Linked DNA regions of Stegostoma tigrinum. The protein of the gene in region 2 interacts with the protein of the main gene of each other region in a pairwise test. Links are inferred from orthologs where the notes say so. Each region holds a gene or a part of one and is shown on either strand. Other genes may lie near its edges.

Region 1 (10,374 bases), on a different chromosome or scaffold from region 2:
TCTTGTTCTGTACATACATGTAAATAGCTTTGGAGTTTTCCTTGATCCTATCTGCCAAGGTTTTCTCCTGCCCCCTTAGCTCTCCTAAGCTCTTGCTTCAGCTCCTTCCTGGCTAAGTTATATCCCTTTAGAGCCTTTCTGTTCCTCTTTTCGTAAACCGTACATAAGCCTCCCTCTTCTTCTTAACCAGTCGTTCGACCTCTCTCAAGAACCATGGCTCCCTTACTCAACCTTATCTTCCCTGCCCACTAGGGACAAACATATCAAGCACATGCAGTATGCATTCCTTAAACAATCTCCACATTTCTACAGTGCTCTTCCCTGACAGCATCTGTTCCCATTTTATGTTACCCAGTTCTTGCCTAACAGAATTGTATTTACCCTTCCCCCAATCATAAACTATACCCAGCTGTATGTACCTATCCTTACCCATGACTATCATGAAAGAAACAGAGTTATGATCGCTACCACCAAAATCCTCTCATACCAACAGGTCTAACACTTGGTCCGATTCGTTGCCAAGCACCAAATCCAAAGTGGCCTCTCCTCATGTTAGTCTATCTACATATTGCACCAGGAATCCTTCCTGAATGCACTGGACAAATTCCGCTCCATCTAAACTATTACAACTAAAATGTTTCCAATCAATATTTGGAAAGTTGAAGTCACCCATGACTACAACCCTGTGACTTCTGCACCTTTCCAGTATCTGCCTCCCAATCCACTCCTCCACTTCTCTGCAACTATTAGGGGGTCTGTCAAAAAGTCCCAATAAAGTGACTGCTCCTTTCTTGTTCCTGACCTCAACTCAAACTGACTCTGTAGATATATCATTCTCGAACTGTCTTTCAGTAGCTGTTATACTCACCCTGTCTAGCAATTCCACTCTCCCAACTCTTTTTCCACCCTCCCTATTTGTTTTAAAGCATCTAAGTCCCAGAACTTCCAGCAACCCTTTCTCTCCCTGAATTATTCAAATTCCTGTAATGGCCACAACATCGTAGTTCCAAGTGCCGACTCATGCTCTAAGTTCATCCGCTTTATTTCTGATACTTATAACATTGAAGTATACACACCTCAAACCATTTCAGTGTCCACCATTATGCTCTATCGACTGCATTTCTTTATAAACCACCTCACTCCCTGTTGTGTCTGTTGGAAGGCCGAATACCTCATCCTCTGAATTACAAATCCAGTTCCCAACGCCCTGCCAATTCAGTTTAAACCACCCCGTACAGCTCCCTCCCAGGATATTTGTGCCCTTCTGGTTCAGATGCAACACCTCCTTACTGTATAGGTCCCACCTTCCCCAGAATGTGTTCCAATTATCCACATAAATATCTAGACGTTTCCTTTTCTTTTGGCTGTCCCTTTTATTTCTGCTTCTGTTTTTAATCCAATCCTTTGTATCCTAAGATGTTGCCAGAGAATAGTGACTTTGTGCACTTTTCACTGTATTACTGTATTTCTGTTTTCAGGTACACACGACAATAAAAAATTTAAATTGAAAACTAAATCTAAATTTCATTCTGGCCTAGCCGATAATGGTTACATCTTATGAACAAATATTAAAAAAACCTCTCAAAAAATCCCATGAAAATATTTTACTCTTGAATAACATGGACCTGCATTTGATGCATGTGAACTGAGATCCAAATTCATTTCTCATATATTGCAAATAGACACAAGCCTATACTCTCAAAGGTGTAAACAAATGTATGATGGAATGCTGAGATAACAAGGTGTAGAGCTGGATGAACACAGCAGGCCAAGCAACAGCAGAGGAGCAGGAAAGCTGAAGAAGGGTCTGGGCCCGAAACGTCAGCTCTCCTGCTCCTCTGATGCTGCTTGCCCTCTGTGTTCATCCAGCTCAATTCCTTGTTATCTCAGATTCTCCAGCATCTGCAGTTCATACTATCTATGATGGAATACTGTTGGAATGCCATTTTGCCTTAGAATCATAGTCTGGATGCAAGAAATCTACAGCTAGAGAATTTAGCGAATGGCAAAAGCACTGTTTTCCATGAATCTGAAGGAATTAAAGAAATCAAACAAACTTTCTAGTTTACAATATTCACTCTGTTGTGTCCCACATGCCATTTTTTTGTGATTTCAAAAGCATTATTATCAGTAGGTTATCTTCATCTTGCTCATTCTCTTGGCTCCATTACAAACATTTGTCACCAGAAAGTGCAAGCCATCACAACTGTAAGTTTTAGAGATAATGGGAACTGCAGATGCTGGAGAATCCAAGATAACAAAGTGTAGAGCTGGATGAACACGGCAGGCCAAGCAGCATTTTAGGAGCACTAAAACTATGTTTTGGGCCTAATGTTTAGGCTCAAAACATCAGCTTTTGTACTCCTAAGATGCTGCTTGGCCTGCTGCGTTCATCCAGCTCTACACAATTGTAAGTTTTCACAGTTATGTTATGTCAAAAACATCACATTCTACTTCTCCGCACGTTCTTCCCTCAAGATTTTCCAACTGTCATCCCAACATTATGATGGTATACAAGCTCAAGTTTCTTGCAGGTTAATACTGGCAAAGCCAAAGCTATTTTTTTTTCAATTGCCACTAGCATCTATATACCCATGAGCTTTATTCCGTCAATTTCTCCAAGAGTTTAATCAGATTAAATATACACCTAGACACACAGTCAAGGCTTGGATCCTTAATTGTGGCATAGCATGTTGAGTTCATTAGCTCAATTTCTCATGATAATTTTCAATCTACAAAATTCTCCTCCGTCTTTCCCACTCCCACCCCTGCCTCATTCTTACACAAATGTACTGGAATAGACATAAAGACAACATAACAAACTAATGCTGTAATTTAAGAGGTTTACTTTTAAATACTAAAATGACAGAAGCAACCTGCTATTATGTTCATTTCATTCAAGACTGATACATTTCCTGTTCATAACATTGTTCCGTTGTAAATGAAAGTATTTGAAAATGTTGGCACATAGTGTTATCTACCATGAGAACAAAGAGTGAAGTCAAACGCAAAATATAAATCTAATTTTGGATCCAGGTTTGCATTATGCTTGACTAGAAAGTGAAATCACAGAATGCTGTTAATCTTTGTTTTATCTCTGCTGTTTGCTACAACCCAAGTCCTGTATTATAAGTTGGAAGTGAGATGTATCAGAGTGAACATACTTTATGTTTAACGCTTCACGGCATGATATAAAGGTTAACCTCATGGCTCCTGAGGGAACAGCTGTGGGGGCTTAAATCACATGATCTTGCATGTATAAACTTGTCTGTCTGTTGTAAAGGTACAGATCTACAAAGATATTAAAAATGGGCTTTGTATTAATGGTTCATGGAGGGATAAATACTCAGTCGGATTGATGAAGGTAAAAACAAAGGCTTCTTCCAGTATTTGGGTCAACTTTCCTCCCTCATCAGTGCCAGCAGAAAAAAACACAATAACTGATCTCACATTTCATTACTGTCTGTGGTATATTGCTTTGCACAAAATGGGCTTCACAATGTTGATACATGAAATTACATGCTTTAGAAGTTCAGAAAACTCAAATCTTTCAGAGTAACAGATGTTCACTACAATATTGCATAAGGCAGAATTGATGGCAACTCAAAAAGTGTTGAACTGTGTCTATAAAGCTTAATATGGGTGAAGGCTAACATTTCCGGTAAAAATCAAATTTTAAATTTTAGTCATCGATAAAGCACATGTACAACTTTGCCTGTCTTGGCTTCTACACAGTGCTTTTGTTACCTCAAAGATTGAGTTCTCAAACTTTCTCTTTGTTTAATTCATTATATTTGAATGACTATTACACGAATGAAAGTTACTGGCTTTCTCTTTCTGTTGTAAGTGATGTATATTTTGATATTATTTGTTACAGTTCAGATTTTGAGTTCATCTTTTCAGTCACAACAATAAGCCAAGTCTTACAATACTCCTAATCAATGTTTTGTAAAGCAAATTGTTTTGTTTTGTTGCATTTTTATGTATATTTTACAACACACAAAACTTAATTTTTTTAAATTTCCTTACCTGAAAGAATTTTAGCAACCCACTCCATTATAAAAATACTTCGGTGCTTTTTCATGTTCAATATATCAATAGACAGTATCAACAATTTAGAAATGTTTTCTGATGTTTAAATTGTATTGTTAAGTTTGTATAATTTGAAACATTTACTTAAAAACAAAAGAAGGAGGATTAAAGTCAATTCTCCTTTTGACTTCAAGTGGAAGGGTAATTGCTACAGACCTTTTCTCCTGACATTTTATCCATCATTTTTTTGAATTAATAAAATGGAAAATATAATCTAATATTAATGATTATTAGTATAGAGCAGTTCCTTCATTACAAAAGATATTCAGAGAGATTTTCCAGCTTTGTAGCTCCTTAACAATGTTGTGCAGTTGATAATAAGTAGCTTGATCTCAAAATGAATGATATTAATGGATATGTAATAGGTATCTGACAATATCTTTGTAGTTTTGGCAATTTGTTGGAGTCAGAAAGAAGAGACATAATAGCAACATGCAGCAAATAACATCTTAGAGTGAAGACAACATAACTGGTCTTGTCAGATAAAGTACACTTGTTTCAGTCGAATACCAAGAACAGTCATTAGAATCATCTTGAGGAATCAACAGATTAAAGTATAATGAGCCAAGATAGATTTTGTACAATTTCAGAGATGTTTAATGTTCCCTTACCTTTAATAACCAGATATAATATTAATTTTCTGCTCTGAAGCTCCACATAAAATAATTTTCATGTTGGAGGCTGTTGAAATTAGGCATTTATGTTTTTGTATATAGATTGGGTCCATAACAGATGGGGTTGTTATAAATATTATGCCAAGCAGAATAGAATATTTGGTGCCAATAGTACAGTTCTCTCTCAGAACATAACTGAACAAAATCAGTAAAGTGCCAACGATTTTCAGCTAAATATGATTAGTACAATGCCAATCATTTGCCAATTAGCTCAGTATATGGGACAAACACAGAACAAAATGGATTAGAATAAATGTATAATGCTAGAGATTTAGCTCCTAGGTTCTTTTATACTAACATATTAAAAAATCAATTCCTAGATGCCTGCAAACAATGGGAGACAGTTTAGCATAATTTAATGGTTGAAACGGATACCCTGAAAATATTACATTGTTCATAGAACCACAGGATTGTTATATCTTCCCATTGTGCCTGCATTATCTAATGTCAGTCTCCTGCCTTTACCCCACATCCCTGCAGACCATAACAATTCAAACAAAAATCTAATGTCCTCCTGAATGCTTTTTACGTGGTATATTTAATTTTTGGCTTGTTTAACCATTTGTTTTAGTGAATGCAGCACATTATGGACTAGTCTGAGTTTCTGAAGCTCAAAAACTGTGAATAATATAACCATATCCTTTATGCATGTAGCCAGACGGTACATCATCCATTAAATCAAACATACAACAGTTCAAAACCTAAATTCACACATAATTTAGTTGGCAGCACTCTGCTGGTACTACTCTGAAGTAAGTAGTAAAACATAAAAGTTAGAGATCTGAATAAATATGTTCAATTTAACATCACTAAACAAATGCATCCTCAGTGATTAAGAGCTCCCCATTATTGCCATAGAGGAATCACTACATGATTACTGGGACATGAGAATTGGCATCCCCATAAGTCTTTTCTTAATGAGCTTGAACTTGAAATGTTGACTCTGTTTTTCTCTCCACAGATGCTGCCAGACCTGCTGAGTTTCTCCAACGCTTTGTTTTTGTTTCAGATCTCCAGCATCTGCAGTTCTTTGTTTTATACTATTGTGATATTGAGCCTCATTGGTCTGTGTAGTGAAGGTCCTCTCTCGGTGGCTTTCGGATGAAACATCCATGAATGTGATCCAACTGTAAAGAAACAACATTTCCCAATTACAATAGTGTGGGAGGAGATGATGGAGGTGGTGGATATCCCAATTAATCTGCTTTGTTCCTCCAGGGGAAGGATGTTAGGGATTGTGGAATTGCTGCTGAAGAGGATTTGGTGAGTTGTTGCAGTGTGTCTTATACATTCTGTGATGGAGTGAGTGAATGCTTATGGTGAAACGGGAGCTATTGATCAAGTATGCTGCCTTCTTCCAGCTGGTATCAAGCTTCCTGAGTTTTAGAGCTGCACTTATCTGGACAGTATTTCATAACATTCCTGATTGGAATCTTTTAAGTAGTGTAAAAACTTTGAAGAGTCAGGAGGTGAGTCACTCACTGCAGAATACCAGCCTCTGACCTGTTCCTGGAAGCACCCATTGTGATAACTGCCCAGATGTTGAAAGTGGGAAGTTCAGTGAAATTAATGCTATTGAATGTCAAGGGGAGATGGTTAAATTTTCTCCAAGGAGCATAGAAAGAAGTGGCACAGAAAGATGCCATTCAGTCCAACATGTCTGTGATGGTTTCAAAAGATCTATTCCAACTATTGGTTTCTAAACCAATAGGCTACAGTATTTTGAGCACATACCAAAGTATTTATTTGTTAAACAGGATGAGGATTTTTGCTGCTCCCATCCTTTCAGGCAGTGCGTTCCAGACTCTGACCACCTTCTGGCTGAAAATGTTACTTCTTAATTCCTCCCTAAATCTTCTATTAAACTGTTTAGGACTATGTCTCTCACCCTCTTTATTGACATTGGTGGTAAGAGAAATAAATTCTTTCTACCTATTTATTGCAGCCATTCATATTCTTATTGAGCTCAATTATGTCGCCTCTTCATTTCTTGCAATCCAAAGACAATAACCCTAGCCTATTCAGTCTTCTATATATTATCTATTATGATTACATTCTTCCTATAATGTAGAGACAAGAACTGTATGAAGTCCTCTACCTGTCACCTAACAAGTGTCTTATATGTTCTTTCCCCCAATATCCCTCCAAAAAGGAACACCACATATGTTGATCTATCCTCTTTCAAGGACACTAAATTCATAAATGTTTTCTCTTTGACCTGTTACATCCTGGGATCCGTGAAAATGCACTGTTATGTGCCTCTCTTTCTCTACACCATTCAGAACATGATTGCTCATTGTGTATTTCTTTCCCTTGTTTGTCTCTTCAAATACATTTCCTCACATTTCTGCAGATTGACTTGCATTTGCCACTTTTCTACCCACCTTAGCAGTCCGTCGATATTTTTCTGCAGGCTGCAGCTCTTCTTCCTCATTATCATTCATACAGTCAAATTTATGTATCACTTGCAAATTTCTCACTCATATCACATAAATGTAAGTCTAAAATGTGGATACATACCACATGCAAGATGCCATTGATTACCACTTTCGGTCAGCAGTCAAATTGAACTAAATTAATCAAATCACCAGAAAAGATTGCCACTTCTGTTTTTAGGAAGGAGGGAAGGTAACTGACAAAGCAGTTGAACTTGATTTGAGCAAATCACTGTAGATGCTGGAATCTGTACTGAAAACAACAAATGTTGGAGATCACAGCGAGTCAGACAGCATCCAAGGAGAGAGAGAGAGCAAGCCAGTGTTTCAAGTCGAGATAACTCTTCATCAGAGCTAAAATGAGGTGTGGAGGGGGGGCAGCATTTATGCTTTCATTGGCAGGTCAGTGTGGTGGTGGTGGGTTGTGGAGTGCTGGTGAAGAAAAGATGTTGATAGTTTAGATTAAGTGATTGGAATGTGAGAATGGCAGAACAGTGGTGTGTCTAAGTGCCAGAGAAGACAGTCCCACAGGTGTGGGGGAGGTGAGAGAGGACATGGTGACAGAGAATGTAGCAAGTAAAGCTAGAAAAAGGGAAGACCTGTTCTTCTCAGTTTCCCAGCTTCAACACAATATTGTTACATGGAAAAAAACCTACCAATTAAAATACAGGGCATAGATCCTCATTCATATCTTAAGAATACATTCAGTTTTGATGTCAAAGCCCAGGAAGGATATAACGGTCCTAGAGATGATCCAGCGCACATTTACATTTATAGAATGAGACAAGGCTTCAGGAGATTAAATTAAATGTGAATAAATGTGGCTTGTCTTACCTTGGTTACAATGAAACTGTTCAAAGTAATAAAAGATCTTGATCAAGTAAGTATGGAGAAAGTACTGCAGGAAATCAAAAGCAAGCACGAACAGTCTCTATTTTTTTAAATTCACACCTTTGTTATTTAATGCAGTAAATGAAAAATCCCTAGTACAGATTCATGAAACAATTTCATTCCCTGAAACAAATTAATTCCCTGAAACAAATTCTTGGCCTGCTCATGATCCGGAGTGGCTACAGCTTACGTGACATCAATTAAACAATTGAGTCAAAACTGACAATTAACAGAAACTGCTCTTGAATTACTTTCTCAACTTTTTGAAGAGTCTCTGGGCAATTGCAACATAAAATATGTCAATGATCTTTAATGAGTTTTACAATATTTTACTGAATAAACCAGGCAGAATGATGGTGAAAATTCAACGAGTTAGCTAAATCTCAATTTTATGAGTTCTGAGGATGGGTCACTTGACCCGAAATGTTAACTCTGATTTCTCTTCACAGATGCTGCTGAATTTTTCCAGCAATTTCTGTTTTTATTTCTCAACTTTAGAGCTTGATTTCATCCTATACAAACAATGTTGTGTTCAATATGCTATGAGAAATTTCCAATCATACTTTTTAGCAATGAGACCTACTTGTCACAACTCAGTGTCGAAAAATATTTACTTCATTGATACATTGATACAGTTGCTTGGGTAAAATACAGCTACGTCACTTGGACCTGATGAGTTATCCTAGGATATTAAAGGAAGTAGCTACAGAGATTTGATTGATTGATTGATTTATTTATTTATTGTCACATCGATTTTGTTCCAAATTCATTGAAAAGTGTTCAATGATGTCACTACTCTCCAGCACCATCTTAAAATGCAGAAAAACAAAAGATAGATATTAAAGACAGAAAAATAAAGAAATAATGAAAAGTTTTCAACTCGTTGTTAAATGCTCCATCCTGGTGGTCCCTGGGCCTAGTGACCAGGCATGAGTGGGTATGGTGGCTCGGTGGTTAGCGCTGCTGCCTCACAGTGCCAGGGACCTGGGTTCCATTCCACCTTTGGGTGACTGTCTGGGTGGAGTTTGCACATTCTCCCCATGTCTGCATGGTTTTGCTCTGGGCACTTCAATTTTTCCCAGGGTCCAAAGGTGTGCGGGTTAGGTGGATTGGCCATGCTAAATTGCCCAGTGTGTCCAGGAATGTTTGGTTGAATAGATTAGCCATGGGAAATGCTGGATTACAGGGTTAGGGTTGGGGGGTGTGGTCTGCCTTGAATTCTGTTTGGCGGGTTGGTGTTGACTTGTTGAGCTGAATGGCCTGCATCTACACTGTAGGGATTCTATGTTTTGATGATATTATGAGTCCCCTTTGTTGCGCCACTGTTGGAACGAACGTTGCCACCCTTCAGCGCTATCTTGTTTCTACTGATGCCTGCACCACTCTGAGCCCTCGCTGAACCTCACCAGTGCAGCTACCACCAATACTGCCAGGTATCGCATCTGCCCAGATGTGACTCCGCTGCCACCATGTGTCTGCTTCAAGCAGAAATATTACAAGAATCTTTTAGATTATGGAAAAGACCTAAACGATTGGAAAAGTGCGAATGTCACACCTTTATTCAAACAAACTATTTAGGCCAGTTAACCTAACATCTGTCATTAGTAAAATGTTAGAGCCTATTCTAAGGAATATAGTAACAGAGAATTTAGAAATGCATAATCTAACCAAGCAGAGTTAGCATCAGCTTTACAAAGGAGAAGCCAATTCTGACAAATTTATTAAAATACTTTGAAAAGGTAAAAGGTAGGATGGATAATGGGAACTCAGTAGATGTAATATATTTGGATTTCCAATATACATTTGATAAGGCACCACAGATAAAGCAAATTAATAAGAGCCCATGGCGGTTAGAGTAGGGTGTTGGCATAGGTAGAGAATTGACTAAATAAAAGCAAACAGAGAATTGGAATAAAAATAACATTTCCAGGATGGTAGGCCGTAACTGCTGGAGTGCAACAGTGTTGAATGCTGAATTTACAATTGTTTGGATGAGGAGAGTGAATGTACTATTGCCAAGCTTGCAGACAACACAAAAATAGTTGGGAAGGTAAGTGCTAAGAATAAAGCGATGAGTCTATAGAGGGATATAGAGAGGTTTAAGCTGTTGGTGAAAACTTGGCAGATGCAATATAATGCAGGAAAAAGTGAAGTAATGCACTTGGGTGAGAAGAATAGAGGAGTGAAAGTTATTTAAATAAGGAAAGAAAGCTACAGCACATTTAGGGGTTTTGAGGCTCTTTGTGAATGAATTGCAAATAGAAAGCATCCAGTTTCAGCAG
Region 2 (9,944 bases):
TGGCTACAATTTATGCTCTGAAATTTTTATGTTTTATGTCTAATAATAGAAGTTAGTGCATTCCAATTTATATTGAAAAACAAGATTTAACACTTGATCAATGGAAAGCAGTCACTGAGATTTCAAGAGTTAATCTATTACAAGGAAATAATAGATTTTTTAAAAATCCATATTACAACTTAATTAAACAGTCCAATTAAAATCAGTTTACAAAACAAAGCACAAGCAACATTCGTCCTCAACTAGAAAAAACACATTCTTACGTACTGCAGTTATAAGAATTGAATATTCCACTTGTACACAAAAGAATCCTTGTGAAACAAATATTGTGAACCAAAAAAGTGAGCTGTTCAAATATCAGAAAATGCAAAAGTTAAATGGTGTATTCTAATACCTTAGTTGATGAAGGTGGAGTTGGAAAATTAAGCCAGGCTGGAGCAAAGTCATGCTGCGCCATTTAGGTCCTATGTCTCAGGGTTTTAAAATATGGTATCAACACCTCATGGCAGATCCCTATAAGTGTAAAATACATATGATTATCTTGAGTCGACTTCTGTTTCCTCAATGTAACTCAGAATAAACAAAACCTATTTTAACCTTTTTATTTGTCGTTGTTTTTTTAAGAATGAAAAATTAGAAAATAACAAAGGCTAGCAACAGATCAGTGCATTATTGTCTTATCATAATTCAGGATCTATCAATGTACCTTTCTTCACCAAAAGGGAGCAATTCCACAGTGTGAACTTCCCAGCAACAGCACCACACGACTCTGCTTCTTTTCATCGCAGCACAACCCAAGGGTCATTCAAAGATTCATTTTTCCAGTTTTAACCGCATCAGCATTTATTGCTGTATGAACCTGATAAAAGGTTGGAAAACTGTAGAAATGTACATGAAAGGAAATTAGACATTGTCAAGAAATCCAATGTACCTTGTCCATCTGATTTGTTGGTGAGAATTTTTACACAAAGTGCTTTTTTTTGCAGTGAAATAATTGCAATGTGCCTTAGGAAATGCAATGAGTAGTAGATAATCATTACTACCAGTTTGGGCAGTTAATGATGTATAGAGTGTGGACTTTTTTTTAAAAAAGTCAATAATATGAAGCTTTGGTTCTCAGTAAAACTTGTATTCTTTCTAGTGTTAGAATGTACACAAATATTGCACCTACTTCAGCCCATGGAGGCTAGTTGAAAAAAAGTGGAGAAAAATCTGAAAAGGTTCACAACTCCATAAATATTACCATTTCCTATGGAGATTATACTAAGCAAGATAAATAATGAGGACAATATAGAAAAGAAAAATAAAGACTTGGTACAAAAAGAGCTATCAATAGTGGCGTAACTGTAGCAATGTTTATTTCCAGACAGAAAGTAAGTGAAAGCTACCTCACAGCCAAGCACAAAACCCTACTGCACCAAGCAATACCTAGCACTGAAGTCATTTATGTAGTTAAATCATGCTACACCTTTAACCCTATAAAGTGTACTATGTTCATTCACAAACTCAAGGTTTTCATGAAGTGCTTAAAATTGAATTCACTGAAGTCATACCTTAAAAAGGAACAGAAGTTACTTAAAATAATACTGTACACTGATTAGAAAAGGAACAGATCAAAAGGAAGCCAATTAATCTTGACATAACAGCAACTCAAAACTGCAACATGGATAAACAGACGTGTTCTGTTACACTTCTACTGTAACTAGGCAACCTGTCAGAACTACAAAAAGTGAGGTGAACGGATATTGAATATAGCTATTTTCTTTCTTACTTAAACTTACACAAGTTTAAACATGAATACTATCATACAATTTACCCAAAAATACCCACTTATTCACCAAGGATGCAGTTTCTACCGAGATATTCATTTATATCTAGTTTGATCAACTAATATCAAAGTCTTGATGGAAATCAACAGCACCTAATCGATACGCATAGGTAAAATACAGTTATTAAAGACCTAAAACTACAAAAGATAATCATGCTGACAATCACCAATAGCAAAATATATCCTTCCCAACATGCCATCCTCCCAGTTCTTCAAGACCTGGTAGGAATGAATATGAACTGCCACTTCGCAAAGGTGGCAGTTTGCACAAATTAATAGAAAACACTTCAAACAAATACACTAGGTGCCTTAAATTCTCAACATCAACTTCACCTGATACCTGGCTCTCATTTGAAAACTTGGTTATTGTAAATAGCAAAGAGACTACCAATACATCTTATTTTCCCTCATACAAATCAATAGAGCATTTGTACTCAATGTGAGGAATGTCAATAATACTGATAAACAAAACATTTTTCCCTTCTGTTGGCAGCAGGTGTCAGCATCCAGCATTTCAAACAGAATGCAGCCAGATTAAACCTCTCTTTACTTTCTTCTACCAAGGTCTCTTCACAGCAAGTTCAGAAAAGTAGCATCTAATTTACTACTTGAATTTTTTTCTACTGTTATTTCTTACACTAACCATCACTTCACCCTTTAAGTTTAACCATTCATTTAGTGACCACCATTAGCTGAAAGTTAAGAGATGGGTGGAATCCACTTCAGGAACATCTTTAGAAAATGAACTAATAAATACTTTGCATCATTTCAGATGCCAAAAGGAGGGGGGATTGGTGTATTCACATACGATGGCACATGATACTTTTCAAAGTCCAAGTCATTCTTAATTTCTCTCGTAATTCTGATTCTTCACACCACAGCAGTACAACCAAAAAAAAGCCTTGTACTGACAAATTTTCAGTTCAGTGCATACTCCTCACTAGCTCATACCTCTTCAATTAAGTCATTTCAGCTAGCATACATCATTTTCAGAAATTCATGTGACAATTACTCTGCATCTTCAAACACCAGAGATTTGACAAAGATGACACTCATTCATGCTAACATGGCTACATATTCATGTAAATTCCCTCTTCTTCTGATAGTACAACATTCATATCATAGCTTTAATGCAAGAAGCTCACCCCACAGAAGCAAAACTAGGTTAAAAATTGACAGTAAGTTTAAGCACATTAAGACTAGTTACCAAAAAATTTCAGATGCAGGTTGTAAAGGTAAGAGTTGAGTTCAACCTATGTGCTAAAATTTTCATTTACAGAAGTTTATAAACTTTTTAGCTCAGAATTCCCAATTAGCCACAACCCTTGTATCCAAAACAAGTGTTTTTACTCCAACTGTACCTTACTTTCTTCATTTGTTACCAACAATTGAAATTTTTTTTTAAATTTACACAAAGAAAGACAAAAATATTACACAGGTTTAAAAAGTTTAAGTTAAAGTTAAAGTTAATTTTAGAAACAACATTTTGCAATGGTTTTAGGCCACAACCCAAAAAACTGAAGGCTTAAAAAATTAGTTAGGCTCAATTTCAAAATGAACTCTTAGCATATTTAACCAAGCAGCATATTAAGTAATATTCAAATAAGAGTCAGTATGAAAAGCTGTATTTAAATGACACATCTGAAAATGTTAAGTATACACTTACTGTTGCAGATATCCCGCGGCATAACAGTGAAGTTGAGTTACATGAAGCAACACTCTGATGTAATTAATGGTACGTTCACTAATGCTCAAATTGAATAGAAGAAAATTCTTTCAAGAACTTGGCAGCAAAAAGTGAAGTATAACCAACAAACAACTGTTTCTTATTCTTGTTTACAAACAGCGACAATTAGGCCTCAGAAATTCTCCACGTTTGTAAATATTTGGGAAAGCGGAATGAATGAAAAGGTTTAGGAAATTGGCCGTTTTGAAAGCGAGAAGAAACTACAAACACAGGAAGGACAAAGCATCACCAACAACAGATACAGATGCAACCAAAGTGAGACAGGGAGATGGCTCCTTTCTATATTCAAAATTAATCTTCAAACTCTTCCAGCGCCTCCACAATCTCTAAACTTAAGCGACATCAGGCACCACGTGATGACGACACGGGCCGGTCGCTTCAATGACGTCAGGACGAAAATAAAAATCAGGGACAAAAGCAAAGTACAAACTTCCATCTCGGTCAATAAACAGGGCACTGGGCAAACAGGATACTGCCATTCCCATCACCAACTGAGCGACCTCACCTTTCCCACGCACTTCATTTTAACCTGTAATCTGGAAATTAAATACAATTTACTGTTTGACCCGGCAGGGAGTGACGTTGCACCAAGGGTCATCCAATGGGAAAATAAATTTAAAGGCCAGGCTTCAGATCACGCGAGATCCGCCCTCAACCCTTGGCGAGCCCCCTGAAAAATCCCCTCTGCGCCTGCGTGCCACTGCCGCCTGAGCTATGCGCCTGCGCGCCACCAGACACCGGGCGACACCGCTGAGCATGCGCGTCGCCTGTTCTGTGGTGTATCGTTTGTGTCGGTCGACGCGGACATTGAAAACTCAGATTGCAGTTAAATCCAATATCGATCAGAATCATAGAACAGAATCCCTACGGTGTGGAAGCAGACTAATCGGCCCATCAAGTCCACATCGATCCTCCGAAGAGCATCCCACCCATACCAATCCCCTACCCTATCCTTGCATTTCCCACTATGGACGATTCAGCGTGGCCCATCCACCTAACCTGCACATCGTCAGACTGTGGGAGGCTACCCACACAGACACGGGGAGAATATGCAAACTCCACACAGGCAGTCTCTCGAGGCTGGAATCAAACCCAGGTCCCTGGTGCCGTCAGGCAGCAGTGCTAACCATTGAGCCATCGTATTGCCCTGGGGGTAGGAGCCTGAGTTGACCTGCTCCATGATTGAGTGGAAATATCTCCAGGTCCAGGCTTTTCAGTTTCAAACTGTTCCCCCCTCATATTCTAAACTCTGTCAAGTACATGATCATCAACTGTTCTTCATACGACAGGCCCTTCATCTCTGAGATCATTCTTGTAAACCTTCTGTGGACTCCCTGCAACACCAGCACATCCTTAAATACAGGGCCATCTTGAAATGAATGCTAATATTGCTTTTGAATTCCTAACTGCCAAATGAAATTGCATGTTAACCGCCAGAGAATCCAGAACCAGAACTCCCAAGTCCCTCTGTGTTTCAGATTTCTGAGGTCTTTCCCCATTTAGAGAATAATCTGCACCTCAATTCTTCCTACAAAGATGCAGAACCTCACACTTTCCCAGGTTGCATTCCATCTGCCTCTTTACTCAATCTCCTAGCCTGTCGTCTTCCTCAACTCAAACTGTCCGTCCATCTATCTTTGTGTCATCGGCAAGTTTAGCAACAATGCTAACAAAGTGTGAAGCTGGATGAACACAACAGGCCAAGCAGCATCTCAGGAGCACAAAAGCTGACGTTTCGGGTCTGGACCCTTGCAGCTTTTGTGCTCCTGAGATGCTGCTTGGCCAGCTGTGTTCATCCAGCTTCACACTTTGTTATCTTGGATTCTTCAGCATCTGCAGTTCCCATTATCTCTTAGCAACAATGCTGTCAGCTCTTTCATTCAGATTGTTGATGTCTGACATGAATAGTTGTGTTGCCAACACAGACCCATGTGGAACTTCACTAATTGCCGCTGCCATTCTGAAAAAGACCCATCTGCCAGTCAACCAATCCTCTACCCATGCCAGTACCTTGCCCCTATCACCACGGGCTCTTAATAAAAACCACAAGAACTGTGGATGTTGTAAATAAGAAACAAAAATAGAAATTGCTGAAAAAGCTCAGCAGGTCTGGCAACATCTGTGAAGAAAAATCAGAGTTAATGTTTCAGATCTGATTACCCTTCCTCGGAACAGTTCTAAGGAAGGGTCAACGGAACCGAAACTTTAACTCTGATTTCTCTTCACAGATGCTGCCAGACCTGCTGAGCTTTTCCAGCAACTTCTGTTTTTGTGTCTGGGTATGAGCTCTTTTTTATCAGTCTCCTGTGCAGCATATTGTGAAAGACCTTCTGGAAATCTAAGTAATCATGTATGCTGGCTATCCTTTGTCTAACTTGCTTGTTACTTCCTCAAAGAATTCTAATGGATTTGCCAGGTATGACCTTGCCATGATGAAATCATGCTGACTCCATCCTGTTTTAGTGCGCACTTGCAAGCGCTCAGCAATCTCAACCTGAAAAAGAACTCTACTCTACCTTCTGCCAGTCACTGTACAATAAAATGTTTTTCTTGCATCACCCTTGCTTCTTTTGCTCATCAATTCAAAATCTATGCCTGCTCACTCTTTTGTATTTTATGAGTGGGAGAAGTTCCTCCCTAACTATCAGCCCACTCACGACTTTAAAGACATCGACTGAATCTCTTCTCAGTCTTCTTCGCTCCAAGGAAAACAATCCAACTTCTTCAGCCTATCCTCAGAACTGAAGTTTTTTTTTCTGGAAGCATTGTTGTAAATTGCTTCTGTACTCTCTCCAATGCATTCAAATCTTTCCTGCAATGTGGTGCTGTTACTGTAAACAGTCTTTCATCTGAGGTCTAATAAGTGTCTTATACCCTTTTTTCTTCCAAAGTTTTCTTTTCTTACTTTAATCTATTTACTTTCTGTGGAGAGATCAGTGGAATCAAGGTGTCCAGCACATCTGAGCCAAAGTTTGTTCCCAGCAGCAGCAGTGGAGGGAGTTGACTACGGTGCTGTGCAGTGAGATTGAGCCCAGCGTGGGGGACATCGAGACCAGCGTGGCGGACATCGAGCCCAGCACTGTGGTGGTGAAGAGCATGCCTAACGCAGAGAAGATCGAGCTCAGCAAGGAGGAGATTGCACCCATGCGCGGAGTGCAAGTCAAACATGGCTAAGCACTTAAGAAGACTTTAACGTGGAACTTTTAACTTCATTCCTTTATTTTTGTACTTTATACAAGTACAAAGTACTTTAATGTTGAATGTTTAACTCTATTACTTATTTTTCTACCTTGTACCTAAGATGGTGCCAAGAATGGTGACATTGTACACTTTTCACTGTACTCTTGTATCCCTGTACGTAAGTACACATGACAATAAAATCTAATTCTAATTATCCAACTTCAACATTAACTTCTTGCTGTCCTACTGCTAGAGCACTGAAGGAACTCAAAATGGTGGTGCATTTGGGAAGGCCATGAGGAAGAGGAGTGGCAGCAACAGCAAGAACATACCTTCATAACTAGAAAAACAGAAGTGTATGTCAGAGTGGAGACAATGTGTGCCACAAAGTCCAGAGGTTGAAAGTGTTGTTGCTGGGTGGAGTGAAGCTCAGTTAGCCAGACAAAGAGAGAGTGTACCTGAGAGAGGCAAATAGTGAGAGAGGAAAAGAGAGAGGGTGTTAAGGAACAGGAGGTAGGGTATAAGGGACAGGAAGAAAGAGTGTGTGAGGGAGGAAGAGAGAATCTGCAGAAGGGAGAGAGACTGCGCAAGGGGAGAAGGAAGGGACACAGCAAGAGAGCATGAAAGAAGGAGAGATGAGTATGTTGTGGGAGAGAGAGGATGTGCTTTTCTTATTCTGTCATAGGATTTGGGAATTGCTGGCTGATTGCCATTTATGGCTTGTTCTTAGCTGCCTTTAAGAAAGTGGTGGTGAGCTGTCTTTTTGAATCGCGGCAGTCTGTGTGCTGCTGGTAGGCCCACAATCCCATTATAGAGAGAATCCCAGGATTTTGACTCAGCGACAGTGAAGGAACAGTGACATTCCAAGTCAGGATGGTGGCTTTGAGGCAAACTTGCAGTGAGTGGTGTTTTTTCATACATCTGCTGCCCTTTTAGATGGAAATGGTTGTGGAGTTGGAGGGTGCTGTCCAAGATTTTTGGCAAATTTCTGCAGTGCATCTTGTAGGCCATGCACAATGTTGATCCTGAGTGTTTTTGGGACAGGAAATGAATGTTTGTTGCTATAGTGCTGATCAAGTTGGTGACTTTAGTCTTGGATGGTGTCAAGCTTCCTGAATGTTTTTGGAGCTGTATGCACCCAAGCAAGTGAGAGTATTCCATGACACTCCTGACATGTGCCATTTTGGTGATGGATATGCTTTGGGGAGCCAAGAGGAGAATTACTAACTGCAGCATTCCTAGCCTTTGACTTGCTCTTGTAGCCGTTGTTTTATACGGCAAGTTGAGTTTCTGGTCAATGGTAACCCGAAGGATGTTGATAGAGGGGGAAATCAGTGATGGGAGCATGACTGAATGTCGAGGGATGGTGGTTAAATTGTCTCTTGTTGGAGATGGTCATTGCCTGGCACTAGCATGGCATGAAGGTTACTTGCCACTTGTCAGCCCAAACCTGGATATTGTGTAGGTTTACTCTTTTTGCATTTAACTATGGACTGCTTCAGTATCCAATGAGCCGTGCATGGTGCTGAACATTGCAAAATCATTAGCAAACATTCCCATTCCTGACCTGATGATGGAGGGAAGGTCATTAATGAAACAGTTGAAGATGGTTAAGCCCAGAACATGACCTTGAGGAACTCTTGTAAAGATATTCTGGAGCTGAGATGACTGACTTCCCACAACCACAACCATCTTCCCAGGTGCCAGGTTATGACTCCAACCACTGGAGTGTTTGTCCCTGATTCCAGTTTTGTTAGGACTCCTTAATGGTACACTCAGTCGGTCAAATGCAGACTTGATGTAAAAGGCTGTCACTCTCACCTCACATCTGGAATTTAATGCTTTTGTCCAAGGCTGTAATGAGTGTGTATGGGACAGAGATGAGACGAAGTGGTGGGGGAGGGAAGGGAGAAATAGCGGAAGAGCTAAATAACTACTTTGCAACAGTCTTCACAGTAGACAAAACTACTGGCATTCCAAAAATACCAAATTAACAAGGGCAGAAGGTAGGAAGAAATGAATTTAATAACTATTACTTGAGAAAAAGTCTATGAGGGAAACTGATGGTGCTTAAGATTAATTGGTCCATTGGCCCCAGTTGGTTACATCCTGGGATATTAGAGCAAGTAGCTACAGAGATAATGGAGACACAATGCCATTAGGGAGGGAATTCCAATGTGAATCTACCTACAGAATGTGGACCACAGTGGTTCAAGAAGGCAGCTTCCAACCATCTTCTCAAGGGCAAAAAGCGACAGGCAGTAAATGATAGCCTCATCATTACAAAAAATGATGTATTTCTAAATTCTCTACTATTATATCCTTTATGATCAAGCAGAATCAATACAGCTGCATGAAAACAAAGTTATGCCAATTGAAGGAATGCCAATTGAGGAGGAAAGTTTAAGGGAGATATGCGTGGAAAGTTTTTTACGCAGAGAGTGGTGGGTGCCTGGAACGCGTTGCCAGCAGAGGTGGTGGACGCAGACACGTTAGTGTCTTTTAAGATATTTCTGGACAGGTACATGGATGGGTGGGGAGCAAATGGACACAGACCCTTAGAAAATAGATGACAGGTTAGACAGAGGATCTCGATCGGCGCAGGTTTGGAGGGCCGAAGGGCCTGTTCCTGTGCTGTAATTTTCTTTGTTCTTTATTCTTTGAATCGATTAGAATTCTTTGTGGATGTAACAAACAGGACAGATAAAAGGGAACCAGTAAATATGACATATTTACATTTTTGACAGGTATATTCAATGAGGTACCCCACAAAATTTAATAAGAGCTCATGGTGTTGAGGATCGCACATTAGCATGGATTGACAACCAGCTAACTAAAAGAAGACGAAGAGTTAAGATGAGAAAATCATATTGAAGAAGCCAACCTGTAACTTATGGATGCGACAAGGATCAGTGATGAGGTCACAATTACTTATTACATATATACGATTCAAATGAGAGAAGTGAATGTATTATTGCCAAGTTTGTGAATGACACAAAAATAGATGCGAATGTACGTGCTGAGGACGACACAAAGCGTCTACAGAGATATAGACAGGTTGAATGAGTCAACAAAAGCTTTGCAAATGAAATATAATATGTGAAAATGTGAGGTGGCTTACCAACCAAGTTAAGGAGAGTATTAAGTTGACAGAAGAAGGCCAAAGCCAGGAATAGACCTGCAGACTGG

What was found.
Region 1: the proteins of vasculin-like (region 2) and fibronectin type III domain-containing protein 11-like interact in binary tests that used the Homo sapiens proteins (3 or more experiments, as listed by UniProt). The link is inferred for Stegostoma tigrinum from reciprocal best matches to the Homo sapiens genes GPBP1 and FNDC11.

The regions. Positions count from the first base shown.
Region 1 is NC_081372.1:36,213,279-36,223,652, forward strand, and holds the start of fibronectin type III domain-containing protein 11-like, read left to right. Parts: upstream 1-6,000; 5' UTR 6,001-6,029; intron 6,030-10,374.
Region 2 is NC_081354.1:123,792,843-123,802,786, forward strand, and holds the start of vasculin-like, read right to left. Parts: upstream 4,219-9,944; 5' UTR 4,081-4,218; intron 4,035-4,080; exon of another isoform or gene 3,495-4,034; intron 879-3,494; 5' UTR 707-878; intron 514-706; 5' UTR 458-513; coding exon 395-457; intron 1-394. UniProt on the Homo sapiens protein: Functions as a GC-rich promoter-specific transactivating transcription factor.